Schizosaccharomyces pombe: one gene and its partners. Changing the gene in region 1 together with any one later gene gives a genetic interaction. Each region holds a gene or a part of one and is shown in the gene's direction. Other genes may lie near its edges. The genes, in order: wwm2, yar1, SPOM_SPCC1494.08C and SPOM_SPAPB1A10.05.

Region 1 (8,355 bases):
TGGATGGAGTAGTTAGTAGGAGGAGAAATGAACCTTAAGATATAGAAAGAAGTGGAGAAAATAAATTCGTTCTATAATGACTGGTCATCCAGGTAATTAAAGAGAGGGAGAAATTTTTGAGGTTGATTGTTTTCATCCCGCCCTTCCTATTAGCAATAAGGAAATTTGGTGTTGTTTATTTAACGAGATTTTTCGTGGGTTGATGGTATGTGGCTTCAGAATGGGATAATAACCTTGCATTGAAAGAGCAGGATATAAAGCATGCTTCAAAATATGTGTGCTATTAGCTATATTTTAAAAGACGTGTATTTTACCACAAATTTATTCTTCACATGTAATTTTCATACATTCACTTTTATTCTTATATAAACTAATGTCCCGTGGAATTTTCACTAAGCTACTACTATATTTATTCATAGAACGAGAAACCACCCTTTGTGGACATTTAGACTATTATTCTAACTTGATTCACGTGCCGTGTTGGTAAAAGCATAAGTTCAATTAAAAGAGCTTTTATCTCTAAAATAGAAGCAACAAATGCGATGCGAGTAGGAATGAAGTCAATTCTTAAAGGTAAAGCTTCTACCAAGATAAACTTACATATGAGTTAATAAATATTATGGTTAGGATACTCAAATTATAAGATAGCTTTTTGAGATTGTTTTTTGTTTGTAATATATTATTTTTTTTTTTTTTTCCTGTTTCGTTAGATCGTTATTTATTTTATTTTATTGTACTGTGTTTATTTTATTTTATTGAATAGTTCTTATGTGTGTGTTGTCTTTTTTAAATTTAATATTAAATGACATCTTTTTATTTTTTTATTTTTATTTTTCTTTAGCTTCACTTAAACCAATTATTCCTTTTAACTCATCGTCCATATTAACTATAATGTCTCCATACTATTTATGCTTCCTTAATTTCAAATTTCTCATTAACATTAATTTTACATCTACATCTACATTTATATATTTTTTTTTTGCAAACCTACGTAGAGTAACTTTCTCTTTTCCTTCGTTAAAACGATATCAATTTTAATACGAATTTACTCATTGTATTTCCATCTTTTCTCGTCTCCTCGCTCTAATCCTTTGTCGCTTTGATTTATTTGATTGCACTTACTCCATTGAAAACTCTTGATTCCCCGAACCCCCACATCCATCCAGTCCTTGAGAGATGCAAGACAAGAGAGGTTCATGGACCCAAGTGGGGTCGATTTTTTTTGGAGTGAGTTCCTTTTGATATCAATTGACCATGCTAAAAGCTTGACAAAAACAAGTATTTATCCAAGTGAGAACTAATTCACTAAGTAGATAATTTTTTGTTAAAGTTAGTTTTATGAAACGTACGTTTACTATTTACTCAAAAAAATTGAACCGAGATATCGGAGTCAATGCTATTCGCGATTCAAAAGAAAGATCAAGTGTTAACAGGAGCTTGAGTCGAATTTTCATACACTCATATACCCAAAGAAACACATTAATAAACAAACACCTAACTTGGCGTTTGTTTTCAAATACTAAACGAGCGCTGACGTCAATGGCTGATCGATCTATAGACTAGCGAAAATAGCAATAATTTGTACAATTGGAAGATCATAAGTATACATGGGTTTGAGCTTTTAGCGTGCACATTTTCGTATCAATTTCTTTTCTGAATGTAACTAAAAGACACTACAGATATTGTAGTAAATTCATCTTCCAATTCACTGCTTTGCTGTTAGGATATCGGGTACACAATCGCAAAATAGATTGCGGCAGCTTTCGGCCCCGCTCATATGTTTTCTATTCCGATGGAAGAAAAAGAGTTCAAATCGCACTCGCTTCCACACTACAACTACGCAATAACTCATCATTTCCCCACAAAAGTGACGTATTGTCCGTCGGCTATGTCCTAATGCAAAGCTTTATTTATTTGCGAGTTTTCCTCACCTTTTCGTCAATCTAATTTCAATCAATCATTTTTTTTACTTGCTTCATTTTCAAAGCATTCGTTATTCTAATCTTTTCTTCATTCTTACTATAACGAGATCATAAATTCTTTCTTGTTATACATACCGTTTCTACTTCGCTGCTAATTCTTTTTTTCTTTTGACATTTGTGCCTGTCTATTAATAATTCTTAACAGACATACTCTACTTCTCACTACTTCTTTTTTTCTAAGTTACAGTTTCTCATTAATTACTTTATCGAAAGATGTCTGTTTATCAAACTTACAAGGGCTTGCCAGCTGGTTGGGTCGCCCAATGGGATCCAACTTATCAAGCTTACTTTTACATTAATGAAACGTTTGAAGGTGCTCAACCACAGTGGGAGCCTCCTATTCCAGGCTTGCATATTCCTCCTCCTCCCGGTACCACTACCGTCGTCTATCAAAAGGACGTGCCTCGCTCTTCTGACGGCTCACGGTCTATGACGGCTGGATTAGGAGGTTTCATGGTTGGAGCTTTAGCCGGCAGTGTTCTTCGTGGTCACCGTGCTTACTACGCCCCTCCTCCTCCCAGAGGCCCTTTGTTTGGTCCAAGAATCGGTGGTGGCCATCATGGCCCACTTCATGGTCCTCACGGTGGTTTCGGCGGCCGCGGTGGTGGACGCATGGGTGGACGTGGTGGACGTGGCCGCAGATGAAAAGCGTTGATTTTTATTTAAATTTGGTTCCGATTTCGTCCTACATACTATGGTCGTTGATTATGGAATCGCTCTTTTTTTTTGAGAACATCACTTTCTCCTTTGAATAGAATCACCAAATTCACGTATACGACTCTTTCGAAATTGTTAAATGGAAAACACGATATCCAGTGAAGTTCTTTTTATTCCCTTGAAATTTCATACTATTTTTGCTAATCGTTCTAAAATTGTTATATTCTGTTAGTCGTTCTTTGACCTAATTTCTTGTTTACTTATATTAATTTTGTTATCATCTGATCTTTACTTGTTTCAAGCTTCCTTATTTATTGTACCATTGCATTCTTTATTGGGATTTCGAGGAAAACGGTCTAATTTATAAAATTTCTGTTTAATACCAAAGAAGTAAGGAGCATATATTATAATGGGTGTGAATATCGACGGAGTTGGTTGTCGATGGAATCATTTTTTTGGCATTTATCACTTCGACGTGTATTTACTTATTTATTTATATTTTTTTTTGGTTAATTGTAAAAAATTGGGTGAAGCACAATTTTTGAAACTTTTAAAAAATCAATGGTTGTTTTTTCAGACGTTAAATTAGTTTATTATGCATGATTTAAAATAGTCAATTATATATCTTTCATTTATTATTATCATTGTTTTTTCATTACTAGTTGTCCTTTTTTTTTGGGTATTTTAGTTGAATAGTTTATAGTGGTGTATTACTGACTATATAATTGGCAAACTCAGATATTTGTTTGGTTTTGGATTAAATGCACAATTCCGAAAAAATTAAGGCAGAAAGAAAAAAAATTTTTTTTACACTTATGGGATGTCATACCACTATTTTAAAAGACAAACAGATATCATTTGAATCGTTTAAAACCTGTATTTATCAAGCTGTTTAAAATAAGAGAAATATAACTTGGCTCTTGGATACACATAATGAAATAAGAAAAGTTAATATATTTCAAAATTAAGAAATATTATCTACGGTACAACATTTATTTGTTCATATTACGATTATTCAGTAAGGATACGTAAATTTGTACCTGGCAATTATCAAATGAATGTCGAGGGTTTTCATAGCAATGCAAAACCGTTTGTTTTTAAGCAAAGCCGGCGATTAAAAAGGGTAATAAGAGCAATTTTCCTTTTTCAATTAGCTATGTTTCAAGTCAAGCAGCATTAGTGAAACCCTGATATTCTGAGTTTGAATAAAACAAATTGGCAGTCTATTTTCCATGAACAGCTTTCGATAATTAGTGAAGTACTTTTAAAAACACGTTAATACCACTTTAATGGAACTCGTAAATTCGTAAACTAGGAATGACGAATTATGGTTTGGGGCAATCACGATATAGTAAAATAACGAAATTTGCATAATGCTACTACCACTACATCAGCCTCTTATGTAATGATCTGTAGCGTATCAGATTTTCATTTCTTTTATAATCGTTCTATACCACTGCGCGATTTCTCCTTTTCCCTAACAGATACAGCTTACCACCAAAACTTTCTATCTTTAATACTCGAAAAATTAAGTATATAGATCTTAGAGAGTGATTTTTGAATATCTGCCTATAACATTTTTCTTTTCTTTGGTTAGAATCTTTCTAAGCCTCTATATCGTTTATATAGGTTTTTACTCTGTGTCTTTACAGAATTAATCATATAAAAAATGTCTGTCTATCAAACTCGTGAAGGTTTGCCCAGTGGATGGGTTGCTCAATGGGATGCTGAATATGGAACATACTTTTATGTTAACGAGTCAGCTCAAAATCCACAGCCCCAATGGGAACCACCAGTCGAAAATCTGAAACTTGCTCCTCCTCCAGGAGCCACAAGCGTTAATACAGCTGTGTATAATAACAATAACAATACTTCTGCTGCGAATACGAATGCTGCATACAATGCTAATACTGCTGCAAATGCCAATGCTAACACTGCCACGACTACCAATGCTGCCGCTACTACCAGCGCTGCATATAACCCCAATGCCCCTGCCAATACCAATGCTGCATACTATCCTAATGCTGCTGCCACTACCACTACCAATGCAGATGGTAGTGATAAAGGGCTGTTCAGTGGGCTTACCTCTTCTAATGGCTACACCACTGGCAACTCTTACAGTAGACCAAGCTACGTTGCTCCTGTCGCTGCAGGGTTAGGTGGATTGGCCTTAGGTGGCCTGGCTTCACACGCACTTGGCAATCTCTTTCACCATCGTGGTCATAACGGTGGTGGTTTCGGAGGTTTTGGTGGTGGTTCTGGCGGTCCTCCTCCTGGTCCTGGTGGATTTGGAGGCTTTGGAGGCTTTGGAGGTGAAGGCCATCATCATGGTGGTCACGGTGGCTTTGGAGGCGGCCCTGGAGGTTTTGAGGGCGGTCCTGGTGGCTTCGGAGGCGGTCCTGGCGGCTTTGGAGGCGGTCTTGGAGGTTTTGGAGGAGGCCCCGGAGGCTTTGGGGGTGGTCCTGGAGGTCATGGCGGTCCTGGTTGGTGAGACTGAGAAACATGGAACTAAATATTTGTTTATGAGCTTTTTATGTGAGTATATTGCGCAATAGATATTAAGTCGATACCGTTAAAAAATTTTTTATGTTTATACTCAGTTATTTTGCTAAAGTGAAATTGAATTTTATTAAGGTAGGACTTTCTGAAAGTATTAAGTAGAGCTGGGCAATTTTAGAAGTGCACATAGAAAAGCTCGCAAGCAAGCAATTTTGATATCCCTGTGTTGTTGTTTTTTAGGTTTATGTAGGAATGATTCAATGCAACAGTTTAGATATAGGTAAACATAAGTGCTGTATCTATAGCTGTGGAAACAATTCATGCTTGTTCATACGTAACATTTTATGCGCAAGTATTAAAAGATTCTAAAAAATATCTATTATGTTCATTATCTCGCACACGTCAAACCCAGTCTACTTCGAAATGCGTACGTGTATACTTTGGCTGTATACAATCTGAAATTTGAAATTTAAAGCTGTCAGATTAGCTTCTATTAATATTGCGTAAATCGGTTAGTTCAGAGTCTTTTATCCCAATACTTCGTCAGATTTGTATACTTTCTTCATTAAAAGTACATGTTTATCTTAACATAGAAGAGGTAAGTACCGCTAATTAACCGAATTGCAACTTGTAATTATAACAGCCAAATCATTTCAAACCAGAAGAGTGCAAGTTTAAAAAAAAAACCGATAGAACAACATACAGTGCCGCATTCAAACTACACATACATAGGGTTTCATCTCGTGGTATATAACGAGTCAATAGAGCATTCTCAATGTTAAAAAATACGGAATATTGTGGTTCTTTACAAAACTCATTACCTTCTCAATAGTACCACTAAAATCAGTGATAACTGTTTCAGAGGCGTCCGTATATACCTTTTTTACTGTTGTATCTTAATTAGCCAATTTTCTCGTATCTTCTTTCTATGTTTCAGCTCATTGTTTTGATTATAGCGATGGTGTTCACCGTTGCTGCTATCCTATTGCCGCATCCTTAAACTTCCATAAGCTCTATAGGTGTCAGGTAGACTACGTCATTGAGTAACGAACTACATCAGCGTAAATTTGGTTTAGAATGTATGAGAACTTAGCAACTCCAAACCACAAATATCAACGACAGGATTATAGACTGATACATAGAAGAAACTAGCAGTTCTTTTAAAATTTTTTTAGGATTTAACGATTTATACCTATTGGGGTACTAAGAATTTGGTAGAGTTACTCAAATTCAGTTAAAGACACGGATTTTCCTTATACGTAATTAGTGTCGATTTTCTGAAATCTTGCTTGCTATTTTATAGCTTAGAACGAAAAAGCAGGAATTTGTTTTGTTTTGTTTTTTTAAAAAAAAAAACACTTTATCTTGTGAATTGCTTTGGAAAGTGAGCGTATTCCTCGTAGGAGCTTTTGAATTTTTGATATATCGTTAGCTTGTAGTGAAGGAAACGGAAGCCATCAACGGAATAACCTTGTTCTCCATCATTTGCTATCATTCGTGAATAGGAACAATAAAGAGAAAAAAAATACATTTTTAAAGAAGTTTATATATACATTGATCTAATAGTGAAAATATTTAACACGAATAAGTTTGTTTCATATGCCTTCGAAATTTTCCTCTAAATACGTGGATACAGAAGCCATTTCAAATGATGATGACAATCCCTTTGCAACCGCTAAGAGTTATTACTCCAAGGATACAGACTTGTCGACTCGGGTAAGTGCTGGCCGTCCTCGCACCTTATCCACTTCGATGGAGGCATCCGCCGCACCAACTATACCAGAATTAAAGAATTTACGTCGACGTGGAAGTCTTGATGAACATAAACAACCACGAAAATTTCTTGTTGATGTTGATAAGACATTGAATGCACTTTTGGAATCTGAAGACACCGACCGGAACATGCAAATCACCATCGAGGATACCGGACCTAAAGTTGTTTCCCTTGGCAGCGCTAGCTCGGGTGGATATCGCTTGTATGAGCTTCGCGGCACATATCAATTGTCAAATTTACTTCAGGAATTGACCTTGGCAAAGGATTATGGACGTCGATATATTTTACTTGATGAGCGAAGACTTAATGAAAACCCTGTGAACCGACTTTCTAGACTCATCAAAGGTACCTTTTGGGATGCCCTTACTCGAAGAATCGATGCCAGTGTTTTGGATGTTATTTGCCGTGATACCAAAGACCGATCAGGATCACACGTGAATCGAATTTATGTTCCTAAAGCCGAACAAGAGATGTATGAATACTATGTTCGCGCTGCTAAGGAAAGGCCTTACTTGAATTTACAGGTCGAATATCTGCCGGAAGAGATTACTCCAGAATGGGTGAGAGATGTAAATGATAAGCCAGGGTTACTTGCACTTGCAATGGAAAAATACCAAGATGATGAAGGCAATACACATCTTCGAGGTGTGCCATTTGTCGTTCCTGGTGGCCGGTTTAATGAACTGTACGGCTGGGACTCTTACTTTGAATCACTGGGTTTGCTTGTTGACGATCGGGTTGACTTGGCGAAAGGTATGGTGGAGAATTTTATTTTTGAAATTACCTATTACGGTAAGATCTTGAATGCCAACCGCACTTATTATCTTCTTCGCTCCCAGCCTCCATTTTTGACCGATATGGCCCTTCGAGTTTATGAACGTATAAAAAACGAAGAAGGATCTTTAGACTTTTTGCATCGGGCCTTTTCTGCGACTATAAAAGAATATCACACTGTTTGGACTGCCACTCCACGACTGGATCCCAAAACTGGTCTTTCCCGCTATCGCCCTGGAGGACTCGGTATTCCTCCGGAAACTGAAGCTTCTCATTTTGAGCATTTGCTTCGTCCTTACATGGAGAAGTATCATATGACTCTTGAGGAGTTTACTCATGCATACAATTACCAACAAATTCATGAACCCGCGTTGGATGAGTATTTCGTGCACGACCGCGCAGTTCGCGAAAGCGGGCATGATACTACTTATCGGTTGGAAAAAGTTTGTGCTGACTTGGCCACCGTGGATCTGAACTCGTTGCTATACAAATATGAAACCGACATCTCACATGTGATTTTAGAATATTTCGATGACAAGTTTGTACTTCCAAACGGAACTATAGAAACTTCTGCCATTTGGGATCGTCGTGCTCGTGCTCGTCGTGCTGCAATGGAAAAGTATCTTTGGTCAGAAGCTGATTCGATGTGGTATGATTACAACACGAAGT
Region 2 (7,634 bases), 1.7 Mb from region 1:
TTGTACGATCGTTTTCAAATCGAGCAAGACGAACACATTGGTGAAATTTCACATCTTCCATTTCCACAGTGTTTCCTTTAATGGTACGACCAGCCGCTTCGAAAAGGACCTTGTCATTGAGCCCAAGACGAAGTTCAGGCATTCCTGATAAGTAGCATTTGAGACGAACTTTTCCTAAGATTTCACTTTGAATGACCGTACCATCGGCAGCAGCAATTAAATTAACTGATTCAATAACGTCCAAAAATACTTCATTCTTACGATAGTGAATTCCTTCAGAACGCCAGGAGATAGCATTTGTCATAGCAATGGGGGGTGGAGCATGCTTTTTTACCGTATTTGAGGTTTGAGTGATGTATTCTTGCAAGATTTTTGTTTCAGTTGTTTGTGGAAAACCGAAATCCATGATCTCGTCTAACAATTCATAAACAAGAACAAAGTTATCTCGAATCGACTCTTCCTGCAATTCTTTAAAGTAATCTATAAAAACGTCCGCCATTTTACGCAAAAATACTAGCATCTCCATTGCATCGGAATTCATTTTGGATAAAGCAAGGAGGTAGACATCATTATGGTGAATGTAAATGTACTGAAAAGTGTTAGTACGACCATAAAAAAATAAGAATTGTTGGCTTTCATAATATCTAACTTTTACATACGTTAATGCCTTCGTGAGTGAGACAAGGGGTGGAGAATCCTTGTTCTTCTTCAACTTCTGATTTTAAAGGTAAAAACTTTTCAACTACTGACATGGGGATATCAGCTCTAATTGTTTTCTGTTAGTAACCTGTCGACGAATTGCGACAATCTGATTTTCATTCAGATTTCAAAATTGCCTACCGGTAATCACGGGAAATGATTACCTTTCCCTTTAAATTCAGAACGAATATAGCAGAAGCCATTTTTACAGAAGCCGCGAATAAGGCAGCTAGTTTCGCTCTGGATAACTAGCATTGACTGTTGGCTGCCTCATCACCGTGCCTAAGCACCGCTAGTGTAATACAGCGTAATTCACTATTTCTGTTTCTTACATATAGTACGAAATTCTTCTTATATTGAGTAATTACTACTCTATGCACACATTCAGTCTTCTTTTATAAGATAATCTATTCAGATAATTATAACTAATTTACATTATATGGTTTTGTAAATGCCGAAAAGGAAAATAATTTTTCTGACAATGTAAGAAAATTTCGGTATGTTTTATTTGACAACTTTGGCTTATAACAATAAGAATAACAAATATTTTAATAAAATTTGATCTCAAACATTGTAAATATTAAAAGCCACAAATCCCAAGAAAGTGCAACGAAAAAAGTTGTTAACTTTCACCAATGATAAAACCAAAGTGAACATCGTGGCTTTTTAAAAAGACACAGATTTTTTTCTAAAATAAAAAGGATAGAGAAATAACAACGTAAAGATTCCAAAAGTGTGTAAAAAATCAATATATACCTCGTAACCTTAAAATACCCAAATAAATTCCCAATAAATACATAACCTATACGCGTCTTTAAACAAGTCGAATACGCTTTTCATGAGCCCTTCGCTGTCTTTTTACGGCATCTTTTCTTTTTCGTTTGTAATCACGAGTTAAGAATAGACGATTTTCCGACCACCAGGATTCAAGAGCTTCTCTGCTCGTATAATCTTCATTACCTGGTTGGAATAGGGAAGAAGGATTGGGTAGAGTAAACATTTTTGGCCAACCCTTGGTACCCGATGAGGCTTTAACTATAGCTAGCGGAGTTTCCCCATCTGCCTCTTCTTCCATAGTTTCGTAATTACGGTCATCAATCTCACTTTCCATTTCACTTTCCTCACCAACTCCATTTTCATTGCCAAAAAGAGAAAACTTAGACGTATCCTGCGCATTGGAAGAAAACATTTCTTTTAAATTGTCAACGTTAACAACAGCAGTACGCTCATCAAATGCTTCAAATTCAGCAGGAACATCTATGTGTACGGACTCTTCCTTTTGTAAATTATCTTGTTCATCCAAACCTTCTTTTTGGAAATTATTAGTCGAATCATTGTCCAGTTCCAAAACACCTGAAGTTTTAGATACGGTATCAATTTCTTCTGTATTTTCAGAACCAAACAGTTCAGCTAACACAGATGCAGCCGTATCCTTATCTTTTTTTCGCAAAGCATCCAATTGCTCTTCGTTTAATTCTTTTGTGACTTCAATCTCCCCAGTTGTGTTATTAAGAAGTTCAAAATCGTTATCATCCTTCTGAGTAGAAGCTTTGATACCCAATTTTGCTTGCATACGTATTTTGTCACGAGAAGCTCTCTTACCCCCATATGATACATACTCATCATGATCAGAATCATAAAAAGCTGTAGTATTGTCCATATTCGTTTCCACTCGGCCCCATAGTTTTTGTAAGCAGTTTTTACCCAGCGGATAAAAAAACCTCGTTTTCTTAGTATTTTTATTATACATTCGAAGCACGACAATGGCCCTTCCATAGGGGCCTTTTTTCCAACCTTTTCTAGGAGGATCCTTCCGAACATCAGAATCCGTGACCACCTGCATATTTTTACTATGTTTTCCGGGAACAATTATTTCTCCATGAAAGACTGGGTCTTCCAGATCAACTTTGCTGGAGTGATCTTCATTTTTCTCATCATTATTAGTACTTTGAAGATCAGCAATTTTTTTTTCCTGCTGCAATTTTACTAAATAATAAGGGCGAGCTTCCTCTATACGAAGTTTACTTCCTTTAAACGTCGCATTTGATAAGTAAGACTTGCATTTCTGCCATTTATCTTCATCTGTTCGAAAATTCAAGTATGCAAATCGTTGTATAGTTCCTACTGGAGTAGATTTGTTTATAATTTCAAGATTTGAAACACTTCCAAAACGAGAAAATCTGGATTCCAAATCTGAAGATTCAATAGAGGATGAAAGGCCACCAACATAAATCCGTTTTTCTAACTCCATTATTGAAGTCAATTGATACAAAATGAGGACAAAAAGTTTCGCAGGTCAAAAAGAGTGTCTGAAATATAATGGGAAATAAACCCGAAAAAATAGTCTACCAATCGCTACCAGATAGCTATTTAGATGAGGAATCGAGAGCTGTGTGAGCAATGAAATTTTTTACAAGGAAAGCATATATACTGGTTTAAATCTCTATGACTTTCGGAAATAAACACTCCTGTAACTTCTTTTTCTCCTTCTTATAAATCAAAAATTAACCTGCTGTAGAAGGCAGGTTCTCGTTGAATAATTATATAAAATTGCAATGGAATTTGTGGTGTAGTAAGTAACCACGGCCTTGCCGAAGCCAAGTTGGAGAAGCCGCGGCTACCTTACACTAACAAACGAACAGTTTTCACATCATTCTCTTTCCAAATAAACCGGTAAAACATCCTTCTTTACTGGATTGGATAGTTTAATATGGATGTTGATGATTTAATTTACGCTTGTAGAGCTGCGGATGAGGAGTTACTAGATGAGATTATAGAGAAATGTCCACAAGAATTAAGTCGTCGTGATGAAAATGGTAACTCTGGACTTCATATGGCTAGTGCTAATGGACACATCGCTGTTGTTCAAAAAATAATCCCGTACTTGAATAAAGAAGTAATAAATGCTCAGAATGAGAGTGGAAACACCGCAATGCATTGGGCAGCACTGAATGGACATGCTGAAATTTGCAAATTACTACTGGAAGCGGGAGGTGATCCTCATATTAAGAATATTTATGAGAAGTCACCTATATATGAAGCTGATATTCGAAATCAGCAAAAAGTAATGGACCTTTTTCTGGATTTTGAGATTGCTAAAGGTAGTGAAGAAAACACTGGTGATGAAGAAAAATTGGAAGATGGAATATGATCGTTTTATTTGATAATTTCTGATTTTTATTTTGTAAAAAAATTTACCTCTTTCTTTTGTAGGTTGTGGGAAGCTAATATTTTTATGCACCTGATGCATTTTTTTTTTCTTTTGGAGCATAATTTGGGGTTATTCTTATATTTTGTTAAGTTTTTTACTGTGTAATTTCTAGATGTTTTCTCAATATAATTCGTTTTCAGCGATGTACGTTGCCATGTATCTGTGTAGAAAGTTCAAGTGATGTTTATTAAAAGATGGATTATCTCAATAGACAAAATGTTTATCTTCCATCATTTACAGATAGAAATTGAATTGGAAAAGTGCTTTCATTTTTGTTTAAACCTTGTAATTAAACCTATGTAGCGTTATACGTTGGAATAGAAAGAGAAAAGCCTACCGGTTGCGTTCAAAAATGGAACAAAACTTTATTTCTAGATTTTATCAGGTTCGTTATTCATGGCAATCTAATCAAATATACAATTCATGGTTATAATCCCAAGGTTTTACGAGCCAATCGTCGAACTACACGACAATATTCTTCTCGATCTTCTCTCCACATCTTGCACGCATCGATGTTAGCACCACTTTCATCGTTTGGTTCCGCCAACATCGACATTACCGATAACAGTATTTTTTCAACAGATTGAACAGGAGACCAACGTTCTGAAGACGACTCATACATATTTGGATCGTCACCAGGTGCATGTAGGATGGAAATGCAAACCGTCCCATCTTTGTAAACTGAAATGAAGGTTAGTCTCGAAATTTGGATTAATAGTATCTGGCATACCATTTGGATGGAAAAATTCACACTCAAACTTTAAAGTAGGGGGGCCAAGAGGATAATCCTACATAAAAAAGTTAGAATCCAATAAAAATAAAACTAAGCACGTATCAACGTGCGCTTGAACACCCCGGATGTACTGCCATGCGATTCAAAGAAAGAAACCAAACCCCCAAAAAAAAACTTAGATAGATCTTTTAAATAAAATTTCTTCCTACTCATCAATAAATCGAAGGATTCATCAATTACTAATGAATAAAAGCACTTCTCTTAAATGATCATTCTAAACGAATGGATTATTGAGTTACTTTCTTTATTTACGCTGAACAAATGTTAATTTATGAAAAAGAGCGCGTATTTTTTAATAAGTAGTTGATACATAAAACATGCGAAACATCATACTTATCCACAACTTAAATCACATGTTCAGTCTCCATCAGGTTTATAGTAAAGGACTTACGGAAGGAAATTTCAAGGTAGCAGGGTATAACCCACCTTCAAATGGAGTTCCATCAGGGCCTTGAATTAGGCAATCCCAAGTAAAGAAATCATCCTCATTCGATGGACCTGCAGTAATACCATCAGGCCCATTCTCCGTTAACTCCTTATACTCCTTCATTAACCGTCGCAACGCCATAGCTTTACTCATTTTGGAAATCAATTAACTTACTAATCGGTAAGATATATTAAAGATCACTGACTAAAAGGTAGCCTAAAAATGGTAATGAACAGATTAATGAATGAATGGTTTGTTTACGACAAATTATGCAGCTGAGGCTAAACGAACTTTTGTGGTATCACTCGCTATTTTTATCTCGTTCATCATTTTAGCAACTTCTACCGCACAAAATAATAAGGCCGTTAATTAAAATAGCGAAAACATGTAAAATTCATAAAGTGATTTAGAGGAAAGAAATGCAGCTTGCTCTATCCCACAACATTCCAATAGTAATTGTTAAATACTTAGGAAAACGTATCCGAGTGCAATTGGAATTTAAAAAAGAGCTTGCGCAGAGATCCAAGCATCTGATGGATGTATCACAATGCGAACATTGGCATAATCGGCTTTGTGATGTTGGATTAGACTCGAAGCAAAAGGCAAACACAGCAATTGAAATTCGAGATGCACTGGATGATGTGTTGGTAACTGAAAAGACGAATTTTGAAACTTTCATTCCTCTTTTGGAGGACACGTTGTCTTTGCTTGAAAAGGAACGTCCTGTATTTTCATCGTTAGCAGCTACACATCGTTTACGCATTGCATTGCTTGAATTGCTCAAGAAATCTGGATCCTATAAAGGTTTTGAAGCATTCGTTAATCGGACTTTTGCCGTGCTTCTTCGTATAGTCGTTAATGATAATGAAGAGATGGCAGTGTTGGCATTGAAGCTTGTTGTCCTTCTTTTTAAGGACCACAGTAGCCTTGCTAAGGGACATGTTCAGGAATTTTTATCCATTGTCGTTGAAAACTACAAATCCATGACCACAGTTGTTTCAGAAGCTTTCCCACCTAGATCAGCTCCGAATACTCCATCCTCTCATCCCATGTCTGCTGCATCTTCTGCATCTCCTGCTGAAATTGGAATGGAACATGCAGGTCCAAAAATGATCCCAAAAGCTTCTTCGAGTTTCAAGGTCACTGCTGAATTTCCCATTATCGTCTTTCTCCTATTTCAAACATACAAAGATCTTATTCCGAAAATGCTTCCTTTACTTGCTCCGCTTGTACTTCAATTTATCTCACTTCGTCCTCCACCTCAAGCCGAAGCTCGTCGACTTGCAGAATCTCAAAAAGAGGTTTTTATTGGTGTAGTCCCTTCTTTGCGTCGAAATCATCTTTACAATGACCTTATTTCTGCGCAAATTAAATCATTCTCTTTTCTCGCCTATTTATTGAGAAGTTTTGGTGCTGCTCTTAAACAGTTTGAAAGCTCGATCCCAATATGTACCTTGCAATTGTTCATGGACTGTCCTTCCGAATTATATCAGACTCGAAGAGAACTTTTGGTAGCTACAAGGCACGTCTTATCGACGGATTATTTGAGAGGGTTTCTACCGTATGTAGATCAACTACTTGATACCAAAATTCTAGTTGGTTCTGGAATCACTTCTCAGCATTCATTACGACCCATGGCTTTTAGCATGCTGGCAGATATGCTTCATTATGTGCGTATGGAATTAAGTCCACAACAAATTTACAAAGTCATACTTCTTTATTTCAGTATTTTGATGGACGACTTTTATACTTCAGCTATTCAGGCAATGGCTACAAAGCTTATTTTAAACTTGGTTGAAAGAATTGTTGCACTAGAAGATTTTTCCACTAGCCGATCACTTCTATTTGCTATACTTTTATGTCTCTTAAGAAAATTGACTTCTCTGAATTTCGAGTTTATGAAGCTGAGAGATTCTTTACAGGAAAATGCTGACTTAAAGCAAATTAAAATAGAAGAAAATAAACATGATCTTCCTATGTTTGAGAACCCTACTGGAGCTGCCCAACCTTCAGGTTTGGATAAGCTAAAAGATTGCATATTTCTTTTTAAAAACACCTTATTAGGTATTAAGCCTGTTTTGTTTGGACTAAAGCAACGAAATATTCCTCTTGCCAACGGTTCCATTTTTACAGCTCAGGAATGGTCTGAAAAGTTACATCTTAGTTCAACTAATGAAGTTTTACTGTTTCGAAGATTACTTGTGGAAAGTTTAAAGGGATTCAGTTATTACCAGACAGATGAAAAAACCGGTGTATTCAAGTCCTCGAAAAATCTTGCATACTCTCAACTTGATTCTTCGTTGACCACAAACCCTTCTAAACTCTTAGAAGAGAAGGAGCTCTTAGAAATGTTAGCAACTTTATTTTTACACTTGGACCCATCTGTTTTCGTCGAAATTTTGGAATCCGAGTTTCCGAATATATTTGAGTGTCTAGTAGATAATCTTGCTTTATTGCATATTTTCCAATTTTGGATGTCTAATGAAGTTACTTCTGTCAACTGC
Region 3 (8,151 bases), on another chromosome or scaffold:
AACGTCCCCGAAATTCCTCATAACCAATCCATTTGGCTGGAGACCTTCAGCAGAAGTAGATTTGTTCCATTGCTGTTTTTGAAGATCGGCGCCACTACCAACACCTCGAAAATCCACGTACTGCAATTGTTGATCTTTGTTCGATTTCATGTTAATAGGAGCAGGCTCCGACATTTGTTTGCTTTGTCGTTGGAGATGCTGTTGTTGAGCCTTTAATTGATGTATCTGGGCCGGAGTTGGAGGATAAAAGCCGTTTCTAGCAGCAGTAGGGTTTGGTCCCATTCCTGCAGGATAAGTACGAGGATCAGTATCACCAAAAGAAGAATAAGAAGGGCCCATCATTGCAGTGTTCGGTATATAATTAGGTGGGACAGTAATCGAAGGTGCAGGTGTGTACGGGTTAAAGTTGGAAGATTGAACAGGGTGGTTCTTTTGAAGTCTATCTGCTGATGCAGGGAAAGAGTTATGCGGATTTTGCATAGCATGAGAAGGTGGGATAGAAGTCTTTGCACCTTCAATGGATGTAGAAGGAGTGCCCTTTGGTATGGTTGGGTTATTCATCACTTGTCCCTGTAAAACAGAAGGATTTAAAGGAAGAGAAGGATTGGGGACAACAGCGGAACGAGAAAAAGTGGAGGAAGGAACAGGTTGAGATGCTTGGAGGTTAGACATGGGACGGGCCATTTGTCTTTGAGTAGAAGGATCATATAATTGAATAGGCGTGCTATTTACACGACTTACTCGCGCACTAAATACATCCCAAAAAATATTAAACCACTCCACCAAGAAACCTTCGGGAACATTTATAGAAACTTCAGAAGGGGGAAGGGATGATGATCCAAATGACTGGCGTTTATCTAATGAAATGTCCTCGTTAGCATGTACGACATTGGTTTCTTCCTTTTTGTTGGGAGACGGAGCTGATGACATGTGGTTGTAAAGTCGATCACCAGAAATCGATTCAGAAATTTTGCTAGGAGAGGCTAAAGATGAATTCTTTGGGGGGAAAGGTGAAGGTGCGTTATTGTTGGAAGGTGAAAAGGCAGTAGATGAAGAAGATTTTGGAATTTGAATTTTTGACTCTCGTAAAAAAGCCTGTGCGGCTTCCTCAAAGTTGTGCTTAACAAAATAGTCGTATATATAATAATCCAGAGACTCGTTTGGATGCGAATTACCCAGTGAAGAAGACGCAGGAGCCGAGGATTCGTATTGAGAAGCTTTTGCAGAATGAGAGGATGGCTCTATGTCCATGAAATCAGCCATTGTATTTTTCTTGACGCTAAATAAATGTCATCAATTTTATCTAAAATGGCGATATGAAATCGAAAAAGCAAACTGGGAATATGGAGAACGAAACGAATGTGGAACACTATAAAGATGTAAAGGAAAGTGCAAAGATTTAAAACAAAAAGCTAAGAGATTTAAGAAAACAAAGATGAATTAACAGCGTATAACACCAAAAAAAAAGAAAAACCAAAGAGGAAAAGTGCAATGAAAAACCGCAGGTAAGGATTGATATAAAAATAATTATAGGAAATAAGACCAGATATTTTTTGAGGAAAAGGTGTATTTTGGGAATGGATGCTTAAAATTATGGTTGATTAGAATGCGCGCTATTCAAATGGACTTTTGGACCTGGCTCCTTTCTTTGCACAAGCAAGATATATATGCTTTAACAGATGAAAAGATAGGTCATGGAAGGATTAAGAATTCAGTATTGTCGTTAAAATTCGAGTGCTCTTATGCTCAAACGATAGCGCTGCTGTTGTCTTTAATGTAGTTCAAATTGAATGCACAGTGTAGCAGTCAGAGAGGCTCGATGCTTTTTAAAAACAAAATTTTCTTTCTCGTTCCTTGAATCTTCTCAAATATCGATATATTAAAGGCTTAGGCAAAAAAGTAGTAATAAAGCCGTAAATAGTCGGTTTTGAGTGTGTGCCTCCAAACCAAATCCGAATACTGAGATATGTTTAAACTTCGTTATCACAGCTACTGAACTAGTCGATATACGTTAGATATCAGCTATGAAGATTAAATAATTTAATATTCTGTATATTGCAAAACGAAAGGCAAAAGACTAAGTCACCTTCCGAAAGTAAACAGCTTGCTACAGATAATCTTAAGTAGCTCATTTGAATTTAATCGACCAAGCTTCACGTTCCGCTTTTACTATCATATCCCTTTATACCTTTGTTAGAATCTAGCTCGCATCGTTCGATTATGATCAACTATTTTCTCGCATTAGTTAAGGATCGTTGGATACTTATTCATGACTTCTAGCTATTTAAAAACTTGCTAAGCAAGAGGAGCTAGTTGCCTATAGATAGTAATCAAGAAATTTCTTCATTACCAACTTGGAATCTCGATTACTGCTTCCATTTATTAGATCCGTCTGATAAATTACCCTTCTAAATAAATAACATTGCTATGTTTTACTTCATTTACTCGCCTGACATATTTGGCCTAAATATAATCGTAAACAGAATAAAGGCAAGCATGCTAAATCATAATACCCGATGACATTTCAATAAATATTCTTTTATAGAGGGTACATTGAAAATGATAATAATGAGAAAATTCAGCTTATGGTGGTGGTCAGACAATTTTCTTATAAAAAATGTGTTTTCGGCTTCCAAAAAATTGCCCTATCTCAAGAACTTTTTTTGTAGAAGGTTAATGTTGATAAATGGGTATACCCCTAAATCGTCGTCATTGACTCTCTTTCCTCTCCAAACATCACCGTCATATAGAAAAGCGAACAGAATTCTGTTTTCACTGATTTTTTAGATAAATAAGGTTTTAATGCTTTTCTTGTCGATATTGAGTTTTATTCTCCCTAGTCACTCTTCTTCAGAAACTAAATTTTGTTTTGTATAAGCTTATACGCTTCCTTGACTTTTTAGATAGTTATTCATGTATATTTAGTTGTTGCATTATTAATTAGCAACTTAATTTCCGATCTTTAGTTCGTTATCAATATCGCTTGACCCTTTTTTTTCCTGGAAAGGGAATTTCTGTTTCTATATTCAGCTATGGCACTTGAATTAACTGAGCACCAATTAAACAAGTTGCGCGACTTTCTGGATGAGATTTTATTAGACGTGTCTCAAAAATACCAAAAGAAGTACGTTTTTCAATTCGTTTTGCCTAGTCTTCTTCACTCTTTTTATTTGCTAACATTGGTATCGTTAGATTCCATCCCGGTGGCTATCAAAAATTAGAGGAATTAGCATTTGATTTGGAACCATACTTTCAGGTGGTATCTTCTATTCCTTTGGAAAAGCATACTTTTCTCGTAACCAATTTCACTCTACGAGGTATCGACTTTTTTGTCGACACTATTGTTGGATTTCCGGCCTCCCCAGAGACAACTTTTAAGGTATTTTCCCTACTGGATTCTCTTTGCTTAAGGCTCATACAATCGGGAAATCTTTCTACTACAGATACTATACGGTTAAAAAGTCTGATGGAGAATTGCCGTATGGTTGTTATTTCAAAATTGAGCGACGTTCAAGGATACGAAATGGATTGTGCCTCTATTTTTGAGAAGAGTTTGAACAGCATAGATTTTTAATGCATTTGTTCTCCCCGTCATTATTTCTCCGTTTACTGACTAATTTTCTATAACTTTTGGTAGCCATTTGTGACTTCGATGGTATTTTAAAACAATTGCAACGTCAAAAAAAAGAACCATCAACTCGGAAAGATTATAATATTTTTGTACCCGCTCTTCTTTTTAATCACATTCATCTTGCCGTAAATGTCTTTTCAGTCTTCCATTCTGCCCAAATCCAGAAAGTGAGCTTTGAGATTGAATAGCGAGTTAATGTATGTTCTCTTTGCTGTTCATCCTTTACGAAAACAATAATTATACTTGGCAAGAAATCGACTTCTACTGTTTATTTTTGGAGTTTTCATATTATTGTTACCTGCGACGGAAGATCTCGTTACCTGCGATTTACAGTATGCGATTCGATACGTCAGAAGGAAATTTCACCTCAACAACTAAAACGGGTTTTTTTTGTTTTGCAGCTTTTAGTTTCCTATCTCCTCTTTTCACTGTTTTATTTATTGTTTTGTATGAAAAACGTGTTTTGTATCCATTAAATCTAAGAACTTTCAAGAATTGAACGCTGGAGCATTCTGTACATAGGTAAAAGTTGGATGAACCAATTATCTAAATTAACTGCTTTTTTTCTTAAATCTTTTATTTGCATTTCCTAAGGAAACTGCATTTGCAGCTTTTATGAGTATATTTATTCCAAAGGCGCGTCGACCTACCTTTGAGCTTCACCTTAGGATCCACGATGTAGTTAATATTCCGTTAATTACGGGAGTCATTTTCGTGAAATGGAATATTGAAGGAATCCATTCTCGTCATGCCAATGACCAAACCGAGGCTGAACCTGTATTGGAGCATCGCGTCACATGGGAATACGAGACTTGTGTGTCCGTTCGTATGATAATCGACAACGATAACCTTTTAAAAGATAAATTTTTAATTTTACAAGTGCTTTGTGATTCTCATACAGATTCTGGTGTCATACGTCTAGGTATTCTAAAGATCAACTTGACCGAATATGTTTATGTCGGTCAAGACACTAGAAAATATTTGCTTGCTGACAGTAAAATCAATGCCACTATACGTATTGGAATAAGCCTTAAGCAAACATCCGGTAATAAGGACTTTAGAGTAAGCAAGACACTTGGGAAACCCCAAGTATTTAGCGGCCTTACGGGTCTTCTGACAGATGGTAAAGAGCTAAAACGGCGCGATGATGAAGTATACACATCGACTGGGCTTGCTTCAGCTTGGGCAGAGAAAATGCTTCATTCGATAAAGGACTTCAATCAAAAAACCACTGTGTTCCATATGCATACCCGAAATAACAAGTATGACACCAGAGAGATTGTAGACGACATTTTCTTTGGTGGAACAGGATGGGCCGAACCTCCCAAAATAGCTGATATTGTAGACGCCGCTGGCGATACAGATTTAATATCATTGGAAATTAGGCAAAAAAGTTGGGTACTTCCAAGTGAGAAAGTATTGAACAAAAGACTTCCCTAATGCTGTCCTTTGTTTTCTTTCGAACTTTTGTTTATATTTATATATGTATATATGCATACGATATTTTTTCGTTACCACATTTCTTGATAATAACGTTTGCCAAGTTGTTGTAATTATTCATCCGTGTAAAAAAGTTGATTTATACTAATATTTACCTTAGCCATCGTTGCAAAAATTGTAAGAGTAAGAAAATAATTTATTAATTCACTTTAAGGAATATATTTATTATTAACAAAATCAAATTAAATATCAGAATTGAATTATTGACAAAAGCTAGGATGTCCGTCTATACGATTCATTAAACTGTGTACTCTATCCAGCGGTAAATGAACATGTTCGGCTATACGAATTATTTTGTAAATTGTAAACCATACATTGGGGTCCGAGGTCTTACCCAATGGCCCATCTCGGGATACATCTTCGAACCTGCTAAGAATTGCATTTATACCATCAGTGGCCCAGTCCTTTAATTTTTCGTTTGGGTAGCTTGCATAGAAAAGTAAATCTTCGAGCTTTTGGTTGTCTGAATAATAAAGATTTTGCCTTTCTCTTTCAAACAAAGAACAGTTTCGCGATAAAGCATTATCCAATTGGACTGACGCTAATTCACAACCGTCTTCAAGTATCAATCTTTTATTGATGCAGTGTTGAAAATCGTGTTGTCCTCCAAATGTTGCCTTGGTACGTAGCTTCCATAAATTCCAAATTTCTGTTACACATTGTGCAGATGTCCCCAAAACCTGATAAGCATGATTTGCAGCCAGAGATCGGATTTCTTCATCATCGTCGTTAAGGAAGTCTCCCAGTAATAAGTAGAGAATATAAAATTCGAAAGAAAACGCTTCAGCTGTTGATTCTGCGTTGAACAAATCAAAATGTATTATGGAATCCAAAGCGGCCTTTCGAGAGCTAAATGGCTGATATTCATTGGAATAACTTAGTAGTATTTCTACCCATTTAGCAAAGGTTACCTTGTACTCAAGGAAGTTTTCGGTTTTTAGTTGTTTGATGCATGAACCCAATAATACTATAAAACTTTCTTTTATGGGTAGGCATTCATTTGAAAGGATGTTGGAAACCATATCTGAACATGAAATTCCTAAAAGCCTATAGCTTGTAGAGTTCAAGGAATCCGAAAGTAACGATAATGCAAGGGCTCTAACTTGACTCCACTGGTTTCGTGGTGTTAATTTGATTAAAGCTTGCAAAATCTCAGGATTATTAACAATTATCTTCTTTCTCGGCGAATCAACAATGCTTCTCAACGTGGTCAATTGGACTTCATAGAACTCATAGTGCAACAATTTTGATACAAGGAAACCAATTGAATGCGCATCACAATACACTGAGAATTCTTTGAGATTCTCCAAAAATATAGTGGCCGCCATTTGTTGATGTATAGGAAGCCCGATTGTATTAAAGACGTTTGTTACGTTAGCCTTCCTATCTAATAACATCCTTTTGCAGTAATCCATAGTCATACGTCTAAGTTGTTGTAATCGTTTAGCATTTGAATCAGTATTACTCATGAAATAGCTGTTAAGGACTTCCAGGAATAATTTTTTGGCATAAAAACTCGTCTTGCTGGAGGTAAACTCTAAGAAGCAATTGATAAAAGCCAACGGAACTACTTCATAAAATTCTTGAACTTGCTGCAGCGTGAGTTTTGAAAAGAAGCAAGAAAGCACTGCCCTTATGGTCAACAATTTTCCGTGTATCTCATTTTGTTGTAATCCGGCGACGCCCTTAAGCTGACTCACAATAAAAGTAGTCATTTTACTACAATCCAGTAGACATGTCAATGACAAAGACGCTATTTCTCTCACCTTACAAATTCTACTAGCAGTGCATTTGAAAATAAGTGGCTCAAACTGACTTAAACCAGTCCATTCATTTTCATTACCATAAGGTTGTGCGTATTGCAATCTTGAAAACATGTTCAAAATTGGATACAGTCCAGTGCTAGGTTGGTCATTGGAAGATAAAGATGCAACGCTTACCTCCAACTCACGCAGTAGGTAATCATGTAATGTTGGGAACTTACTGAAAAACATCTTAGTTGAAAGACCTTTGTTGTTGCCGAGGTTAACTGCATCTTTAGGTTTTTTACTTCCAAACGCTCGATTAATTAAAGCAGTAAAAAGCATAACGCTACAATTTCTGATTGGCCATAACTCATGGGAAAAGCCTTCAATGGATAAAGCAATAGCAGGCTCTAAATATTCAACTGAAACTGATGACAACCGATGCTCAGTAAAAATTGTCTTAAGAGTATTCATTGCATGGACTTGAGGCAAATCAAACTGTCCGGCTATGTTCTTTTGTTCAACTGGCTGCTTGGCAATAGAAATCAAAGAAATAACCGTTTGTTCTATCAGCTGTTCTCTTTTATCCTTTCCGGCTACGAGAATGGCCGTAATAGATAAAGGAATACCACCACTCCTTCTCGTAATAAAAGACGACTTTTCTTGAATCACACTTAAATTTTTATGCAACCATGGATCTGGTAGCTCACTAATTTCGTGCTTGTTGCATTCGAACAAAAAGGAGCAATATTCAATAAAACAAGGATAAACACTAGTGAATGCACCACGATGTCTAATTTCCCATAACCATGTCATCATTAGTTCACCGTAATAGTTTAATGTAAAAGGAGTAAACTCCTCATCGAAGAGAGAAAGACACTTTGTCAATAAAACCGTTAACAAGCTTGAAGTCTCCTTGAGACTTCTCCATGAGTAACTGAGGATAAGTTGCGCAGGCGTATCTTCCAAGTTAGAAACAATACCACCTTCTCCTTCACCATCCGGGAGATTACCTTCTGGAGAGTCGTCACATAATACATCCTTAATGAGACCCCAAATTGTTTCCGAAGCCTTAATTAGTTCCATTACTATGTTTTTCCAACTCTCATTGTCATTTTTCACAATAGTCGGTGACAAAGATTGGAAGATGTAGGTAAGCTGAATTAAATAACCTTGAAGCGGACAATTTACAGCTGCCTCCAATAAAGAAGTTTTTGCATGCTCAATATTACTTTTCAAACGGTTTAATATTACCTTAGTGTTAGCCAAAACACT
Region 4 (8,466 bases), on another chromosome or scaffold:
CTTTAAACCACTTATTCTCCCATCTTCTTCGCTTGCCATACCATGGCTTTTAATGACCTATTTCTTCGAACATATATTTATTTTTTGTTTTCATTTACAACAAATTGTCTTTCGAGTTATCATGTTACATTCGAATATATATTTTTTTACTAATATATTAATCATTCGTTGAGTTTTTACGTGATCTATGCTTTTGTAGTATGGCAAATGAGTACACATAATTGTTCTCCACTCTTCATGTTATAAGTAAAAATCGTAGTCATAAAGATATCTAGCCGAAATATCCATTCAGTGTGTTGAACAAAGATTATCTTTAAATATCGCTTAATGAGTACAATATTTCAATTTATAACACATGTACCTGTTTAAATGACTACTTACACCACTACAAATTTCTGTCATTGTGAATCATTATGGAGTCGAGTGTAAAATGTATGTTAAATGCCGCATTACTAAAGCTTTATCTATAAACTAACAATTAAAGATGCGCAGGAGTTCGTCCAACGGTATTACTCATCTCTTGATACGAACAGAAATGGGATCGCAGAATTTTACAGAGAAAATAGTTTGATCTTATGGAATGGAAAACCCATGCAAGTAACCGAATTTACCTCTATGATAGTTAATCTTCCATACTCCAAAACTAAAGTTGAGGATTTCGATAGTCAACAGGTCATGGGTAATGATATGAATATCATAATTGTTGTTTCAGGAACAATACGTTTCGATGGAAAAAAACCTCATGTATTTTCGTATGTCAGTTTTTATTGTATTTACCTTCTTGTACTAAGATCCTCTACTAACTTCCTTTAAGAGACAATATAGTTCTACAACAGGAAGAATCAAAGTATTATATTGCCAGTCAAAATTTTAGAATTATGAGTGAATAATACGTATCCAAAACAAAGATTTCATTTCGTTTAGAGTTTGTATTAATTTGCCGCAGCAAGCTTATCTGAGCGACACATTCCCTAATCCCTCATACTTCTTTAGAACACAAAATTAACCACCACCTTACAAATATGAAATATTGGAAGTATTTGTCTCAGCTGACTATCAGAAGGCCTCTTACATACAACAATGCTCTTCTGTATAGGAATAGGTTTCCTAGTATATTAACATGGAAGAGAAGTGCGACTACGCAACCTGACGACACTATTTTCAAGGATCCAGTAATGGATGAGCAAGTCCAGAAACTTGAAGAGAAAATGAGTTCATTAGTTGTTAATGATCCGGAACTTGCTCAAAAGGTTGGCCGTCTTCGTCAGTTTTTTGAGAAATACGGCCTTGAAGCTGGTTCAAAACCGTCACCTCTTACTATCCTAAAGATTACTCGTGATCCGGAATTCAAGCAGTTAGCTGAAACTATCACGGAGATATTTAAAAAATCTGGAATTCAAAATGATCCTGCGTATGTTTTTTTGAATGTATTCCATTGATTGTGCGAACACTAACATATCTATAGATTTTTGGAACTTGTTCGAAGAAACCTTAAGAAAGAAAAGTAAAAATATGCCTCTGACATTTTTTTTATTCTTTGTTTGGCCTAATAACCATTACTTGTTCACTATTATGTGAAACTTACAATTGGAGGAATGACTAATGTTATTGATTTCATAAACGATTCACTATACATCACAACTACTTTCTTAATTAGTAGGAATTTTAAACAAGATGCTTTATCAAAATATCAGTAAACCCAATTAGCATTCAAAGCATAGATTTAAGGATTGCTCCTTTGGGACATCCATGTCCATAAAGCGGCATGCGGTACGTCAACCTCATTTGCTAGTTTTTGATAAATCTCTTCAGACGACGAAGGCTCGTACATAGCTAAAAACTCTAAGAGTGGCTTGTGTAAAGCAGGCAAATTTTTTCGGAGATTAGCTATGAGATTATCAAGTTTTGAAGGTCCTGATTTGTCAAGTACACTGTAAAAAAGTTAATGAAGAATGTAATTAATGGAAATGAGAGATACTTACCCACACAAATAATTCCAAGCACTCTGATTGTCAGGAGCAAAAAGGATTTTGTCTTTCAGATAATTCAGTTCCTCTTCCAAAGACCAAGAAACCACCTTGGAGGTTTCAAACAAAACATAAAATCTATGATTCCAAGCCGAATTGTTATAAATGTCTTTTTCCAATAATTCGTTGGTTAACTTCAGCTCTTGAGAATAATCATTAAAATTTTGCAAGATCCAAACTCGGTAGGACCAGACATGATAATTTTTACTGTCAATTTCAAACATCTTTTTCGTAAACTCAAGTTCACGCTCATAATTCTTAGTCAAAGAAAGTATTTTTTGCCTATGATGCCAAACCTGGTAGTTTTTTTGAAAATCTTCGGCAATTTCATCGAGCCATTCTAATTCATTGTCTATGTAACTGGGCGTGTGGTTTAGGATTTGAAATCTATAAGCCCATACTGTATAATGAGCTGGATTATTCATAATCAAGAAACCTGTTAAATTAAGTGCTCTCAAGGAGTACTCCTTTTTAGCCATAATGGCACGAAAATAAGCCATTCCTTGTTCATATCCTGTCGTGTAGCAAATTTTCGCTAATGGGTTTTCGCCATCATCCTGAGGAATGGGTGTTAATGGTCCATATTCTGTAAAATCCAAAATTTCATTTAACTCGGGATCAATGGGATCCATTTCATTAATTTGGCATCCGTTGTACAATTCTCAACTCAAAGAAACAAATACTTAAAGGCCGAAAATTTAATTATAAGTGTTTTATTAAAAAGGATTGTCAGGTTTTTCTAAATTATCAACTCGAAAAACAATGAGTCTCTTTGTTTAGTGCGTACTATTGTTCAGGTGTGATGGTGGGTTAACTAAGGAGAGTAAGTAGATGAATAGTGAGTTAGGATTACCATGTTTACAATATGTGATTTATTTCAAACTTTTATCATAGTCTTTTATTAATTTTATTGTAGGCAACGGAGTATATTCATAAAACTTCAAACGTACAGGTTATATGAGTATCACCGACCAATTCGTGGTATTTCAGTATTGCCTATTAATTAAACCGGTGTTATATTTTCAGTTTGAGCACAATAAAAAAAACATCAAGTACATCAAGTAATTGCAAAACCCATCTAATTTTAAGTAGAGTATGAAATGTTGTGAGTTTATAATAATACCTAATTCATGTCCTGTCCGGATAGATGCGCTTTGGTCGTACAAAACGAATGACTAGTGATTACAAATTGCCTATGAGAAATCTGTATCTTCAGCATCCTAGCGATTAAAACTGATGAGGATTAAAGAGATTCATGCAAATTATTTGAACACCTATATAAAGCATTGAAGGCTTCTGGTGAACAACACGATATAGAAAAATATATTGATATGCGTTTCAATGATTATTTTAGTTTAAAACGAGAACCTAATCACCAGAGTCATGAAATGTCATTTGTTAGTATCTCCAAAAAAATATATAGCAATGCCGAAGCAAATTATTTCTTTATAATCTCCTGATCTACTCAATTTTTAATTTCTTAAGTTGAAATCTGACATTCCGATTATTTACATATACTTACAATGAAATGTTGCAACAATAATAGCATTTAAAGCATTTTAATATTTTTTAATTGATCCAAACCTTCCATTAATATTCAGTAAATTAAATTAACATCTTAAAAAGGGTTCGAAGCTGCTTTGAAAAGTCATGTCAAATTTATATTACTACTTACTTTTCCCTTACAGAATATATGACCAACCAGAATTTGCGCTAATAAAAATTTAATTAAAAGTAATTAAAACGTGTCTTCTAAGAAAGCAATGACTTCTAAATGTTTTCGACTTTGCTGGATTTTTCTAGATGGTTAATTATGCTTGACTTCATGCACTAGACGAAATTTAGATTTAGCTCATAATGTGCAACCTTCACCAACATAGATGACTGAAATTTTATTGAATTGAAAAACTCAAAAATTAACTGATCTTTATTTGTCGGTGTTTTTTAATTCAATTTTGAGAACGGGTTTGTGGGTTTGTACTTACCGAAATAATTTAGAACTAAAGGAAGTTACTACGGCAGTCTGTATTACCTCTAGGTTTTAGACTAAAACATCATAACAGATTTATTTAGATTTTTTTCTCATTTCAAACATTATTTATTACTTTTTGTTGTCTTTACATTATTTTGTTTTTAATTTACTACTCGCATTTCGCCCATGAAGCGTCAAAGACCACAAGACTCTATGATATCTGTCCCGTTGCAAAATGAAAACAGTACGACCACTCCAACTAAAGAAGTTAGTCATTTAAACTTTCCTTTGAAACGACCGCGATTGCATTCTTTTGTCCCAACTTCCAAACAAGCCGCTTTATCAGACATAACTCCAGACACGCCTCCTGCCTTCAAAACTCCTTACAGTAGTTTGCCTTACAATTTGGTTCCCCAGAATTCTAGTACTAGCAAAAAAAGACCAAGGGCAGAAGACCTGTTGGTTATTGAGCCGTCTCAAAATAGCCTTGTTCCTAGTACACAAAATAATGAGTGGAACGAAATTGCTCGAAAGAGAGTATCTTTAGAGTCCGATCATCCTGACAAATCGGGTCAAGTTATTGACCTTGCAACAGGGCAAATACTCGACAAGCAAACAGAAGATATCGATGATGATCGAAACAAGAGTGCCGTATCAAAATCCCTCGTTAGACATCCTCATCGCTTGAAGATGCTTCCTTTTGGTATTCAATCCGCACATCCTTATATATCTTCCTTGAATTCTAATTACCCAACGACTTGGCATTTTGCTTCACATTACTATCCTACAGATAGTAAACAACTAGTGAAGTATCACCCTACAGAAGTCCATCCTTCATGGACGGTTGAAGAACCAGTACATTATAATACCTACGATGGAGTCGTCAATGAACCGAATAGTTCGGTCATTATTGAAGAGCTTGATGATGACTATGATGAACTTAATGATCCTATGAATAACAACGATACCCCCATTACTAATTCCACTCATTCTGCTCAAATGTCTAATCTACCTACTCATGATAGCATGGATATTGACATGGGAGGTGCTGTCCCTTCGACATCTACATAAGTAATATATCTTATGTTCCTGTTAACAATTTTGAGTCCTTTATTATTATTTTTTTTTTTGCATCCCAAGTTCCAAATCTCATATCAAAAACCGTATCCCAAATTATTATTTATGTCCCTAATATAACCAAAATCACATGTGATCAATCTAAAAAATCTAGCTAGAAAAACTGTCATCAATAAATTTTTGTTTCTTCTAAATTTCTTTTTAAATCTTGAACAAAATGATAAAATTAACAATTCACCCAACGCCCATTAATCCGTTTTTGTATGATTTGCACGGCTGGTAGATTCCACGAAGGTGATCCTGTTCCAATATTGGCACTTAGAATAGGAATAACCCAGCACTCTCGTTTTGTTGCATTATCCAGGTACCGAATTGGTGGATATGAAAGGGGTTTCGAGTAAGACAAAAGAGTAGTATTTTTAGCAAGTCTAGCCAAATGTTCTGGGCTGATTTCAGTTAAAGGAGACATGTAAACACGACCACTTCTGCTTTCATGTAGACTAAGATAGACAACATATTCAGAATCAATATTATAAGTTCTATCAGGTACGAATTGAACAACCTCGGAACCAGACGGGAAAAGTGTAACATATCCACGCTTCTCTTTATCATATAGAGCAACTTGATCAATATATGCAGAAGCAATAAATTGTCTGAGTGCTTTAATTTGTACACTAGTTGGAGGCTTAAGCTGTAACTTGAAAAATTCTTTTTCGACTCTAACCATATATCTTTTTAGTAGACCAATAATTTGCTTACGAAGATTGGTGACTTCTTCCAATGCTTTTTCTCGCAGATAATTCTCTTTACAAAACTTTCTCTTATCAGAAGCATAGTCATACGCACACACAGCACTTAACAAACTCAAGGCAGGCGCATCAGGGTCTATAGCTTGAAATCTCGATATTGCATTAAAGTATCCACGCATTCTATTTTTATATTCTTCCTTTTGCTTGATTTCGTCATCATCAATCAGATCAGTTTCTTCGCTACGAGAATTTTTGTCATGAGCATCATATAAAAGAGATTGCTTTGACACAAAAAGCTGGTTTATAGACAATGCTGAAACCAATGCAATAACATAAGGTAGGCAACCATGCTGCTGACCAATAATTAACATTTTCGAAAATCGAGGAGACAGAGGAAATAAGGACATTTGTTCTCCTAGTTTGGTAAGAACCCCTTCGCTATCAATAGCCCCTAGATTTGACAAGAGTTTTAACGATTTTTCAAGCCTACTACGACCTGGAGAAGTTGGAAAGGGGAAATTTGCAATGTTATCAATGTTCATGTTTTTCATTTGAAGTACGATGCTTTCGACCGGAGTACGCAGAATTTCAGGCAAAGAATGCAAGGGAAAAGAGCTATCAAACACCGCAGACGAATATAGACGATAGCAGTGACCTGGTCCCGTACGACCAGCACGACCAGCACGTTGATCAGCATTTGCTTTGCTAATCCATCGTACTTCAAATTTTTGAACAGAAGTCTTTTCATTATACACGCGCTCTTTTGCCTTACCACAATCAACAACGTATCGAATATTAGGAATGGTAATAGATGTTTCGGCAACATTGGTAGCGACAATACACATACGATGACCTTCTGGCGATGAATCAAATACCTTCATTTGGTCTTCGGTAGTTAACAAAGAGTAAAGAGGAAGTACATACATAGGTTCAGATTCATCATCATATGTGACAGAACTTGAAGAACTTGTAGGCACTTGATCTATATCTTCTGTTTCAGATTGCAAATCCTCGTTCTCAACGGACATAGTTTTTCTCGATACTACAATGCGTGCACGAGATTTTAGAGGCCTAAAAGAGCGTACAAACCGCTTTCGCAACATTTGGCAAAGCTGCTCAACTTCTTGTTGACCTGTCAGAAACACAAGGATAGAGCCTGCCGGGAGTCTTTTGTGTATTAAGCATACTTTATCAAATGCATCTTGAAGATAGTCAGGTTTTGTTGTGCGATTAAAGTGAATAGAAACAGGGTATTGTCGTGCATCAATCTTAATAATTGGAGGCGGTACAGAGAAAAGAAGTTTATTTTCAGAGAAATCAGTAACACGAAGCGTGGCTGACATAATTATAAGCTTAAGGGGTTTGACTTTTTGGTCACTTTTGCTCATTTCTCTTCGCAAACGAACAATTCGACTTAACAAACCTAATAGAATATCTGTGTTTACACTTCGCTCGTGAGCTTCGTCTACAATTACTGCTGAGTATGCAGTTAAAAGGAAATCAGAGGATAATTCTCGAAGCAAGATTCCATCAGTCATGAATTTAATGGCGGTATCCGGATTGATTGTACTGTCAAATCTGATTTGGTAACTAACTTTGGAAGAAAAACCAGTCAGTTCTTCAGAAACGCGTTTGGCAATACTAACGGCAGCAACTCGTCTGGGTTGTGTAATAGCAATCATTCCTGGATTCTCTGATTCAGGAGAGGAGAAACCTGCTTCGAAGAGAAACTGAGGAAGTTGTGTAGTTTTACCACTACCAGTAGCACCACAAATGATAACAACATCATTCGCGAAAATTTGCTCCATAATCCTTTGCTCTTCAGCAACGATGGGTAAAGCTAATCTACTTTCTTGAATTTCAGGAGGACGATTTATAATAGTATAAGTCGTTTTTCGTCCCTTTATTTCGATATCGTCTGCTGTGGGTTCAACATCCTCTTCACGCATTTTAAGTTTCCGAGGCATGCGCTGGGCACGAACCATATCTGCATCAGGGTTATCAATTTTGTTGTCAGGAGCCACATCATGACTTTTTTCTCCAACATCTGCTCCAAGGATCTGTTTATTTGCCCAAGACTTAAATCGAGAGGCCCGCTCGGTAGCGTCATCACTGGAATCATCTTCGGAGGTCTCTAAATCAAAATCTTCATTTTCAAATTCAGGATGTCCAAATGAGGGTTGTAATTTTTGTTCTGAGCGTAAATTAACTACATCTTCAGGCACCGTTTTTTCTGCATCCTTAGTACTAGGCTCGTTAGTGTCTTTATTCTCTTCTGAAGAGTTGTCAGAATCCTCTGAGAATTCCTCACTATCTGTACTTAAATAATCTTCCTCAGCAGAATCATATTCGGGATCTTCATTTAGCATTTTACCCCAAGAAGCATTTTTTTTCTTTTTAGGAGGAAGGACTTTAATGTTAGGAGTAATCTCACTTTCATTAGTTCCTGTGGAAAAACCAAACCCAAAACCAGATCTGGTAGAATACTTTTCTGGAGCATTGGTTTCAGCTGTACTGCTCTTTGTAGTTGTCGTTTCAACGTCAACAACTTTGTAAAGTCGGCTATCAGCGTCAGATAATGGAAGTCCCAATTTTTCTTCCAAGAGTGATTTCTTTAACTTCTCTTTTGCAGTGGCTTGCT

Evidence for each region.
Region 2: mutations in wwm2 (region 1) and yar1 together harm fitness more than expected from each alone (negative genetic interaction), as found in Schizosaccharomyces pombe (one large-scale study listed by BioGRID).
Region 3: mutations in wwm2 (region 1) and SPOM_SPCC1494.08C together harm fitness more than expected from each alone (negative genetic interaction), as found in Schizosaccharomyces pombe (one large-scale study listed by BioGRID).
Region 4: mutations in wwm2 (region 1) and SPOM_SPAPB1A10.05 together harm fitness more than expected from each alone (negative genetic interaction), as found in Schizosaccharomyces pombe (one large-scale study listed by BioGRID).

Annotation. Positions count from the first base shown.
Region 1 is NC_003423.3:200,341-208,695, forward strand, and holds wwm2 (protein wwm2), read left to right. Parts: upstream 1-4,118; 5' UTR 4,119-4,308; coding exon 4,309-5,130; 3' UTR 5,131-5,381; downstream 5,382-8,355. Other genes in the region: protein wwm3, read left to right, coding at 2,196-2,627; alpha,alpha-trehalase Ntp1, read left to right, coding at 6,738-8,355.
Region 2 is NC_003423.3:1,903,448-1,911,081, reverse strand, and holds yar1 (ribosome biogenesis protein Yar1), read left to right. Parts: upstream 1-3,328; 5' UTR 3,329-3,409; coding exon 3,410-3,850; 3' UTR 3,851-4,057; downstream 4,058-7,634. Other genes in the region: AP-1 adaptor complex mu subunit Apm1, read right to left, coding at 1-589, 660-765, 841-902; ribosome biogenesis protein Nop8, read right to left, coding at 1,514-2,950; ubiquitin-conjugating enzyme Ubc7, read right to left, coding at 4,338-4,591, 4,641-4,698, 5,095-5,283; SAGA complex, phosphatidylinositol pseudokinase subunit Tra1, read left to right, coding at 5,664-7,634.
Region 3 is NC_003421.2:2,338,479-2,346,629, reverse strand, and holds SPOM_SPCC1494.08C (uncharacterized protein), read left to right. Parts: upstream 1-3,995; 5' UTR 3,996-4,246; coding exon 4,247-5,071; 3' UTR 5,072-5,226; downstream 5,227-8,151. Other genes in the region: transcription factor Adn3, read right to left, coding at 1-1,263; transcription factor TFIIH complex subunit Tfb6, read left to right, coding at 3,033-3,124, 3,193-3,574; trm732 (tRNA methylation protein), read right to left, coding at 5,332-8,151.
Region 4 is NC_003424.3:1,862,950-1,871,415, forward strand, and holds SPOM_SPAPB1A10.05 (uncharacterized protein), read left to right. Parts: upstream 1-3,890; 5' UTR 3,891-4,185; coding exon 4,186-5,070; 3' UTR 5,071-5,302; downstream 5,303-8,466. Other genes in the region: mRNA export receptor Nxt1, read left to right, coding at 414-432, 485-813; protein dpc13, read left to right, coding at 1,023-1,411, 1,466-1,508; geranylgeranyltransferase type 1 alpha subunit Cwp1, read right to left, coding at 1,724-1,931, 1,983-2,659; dhx37 (ATP-dependent RNA helicase Dhr1), read right to left, coding at 5,303-8,466.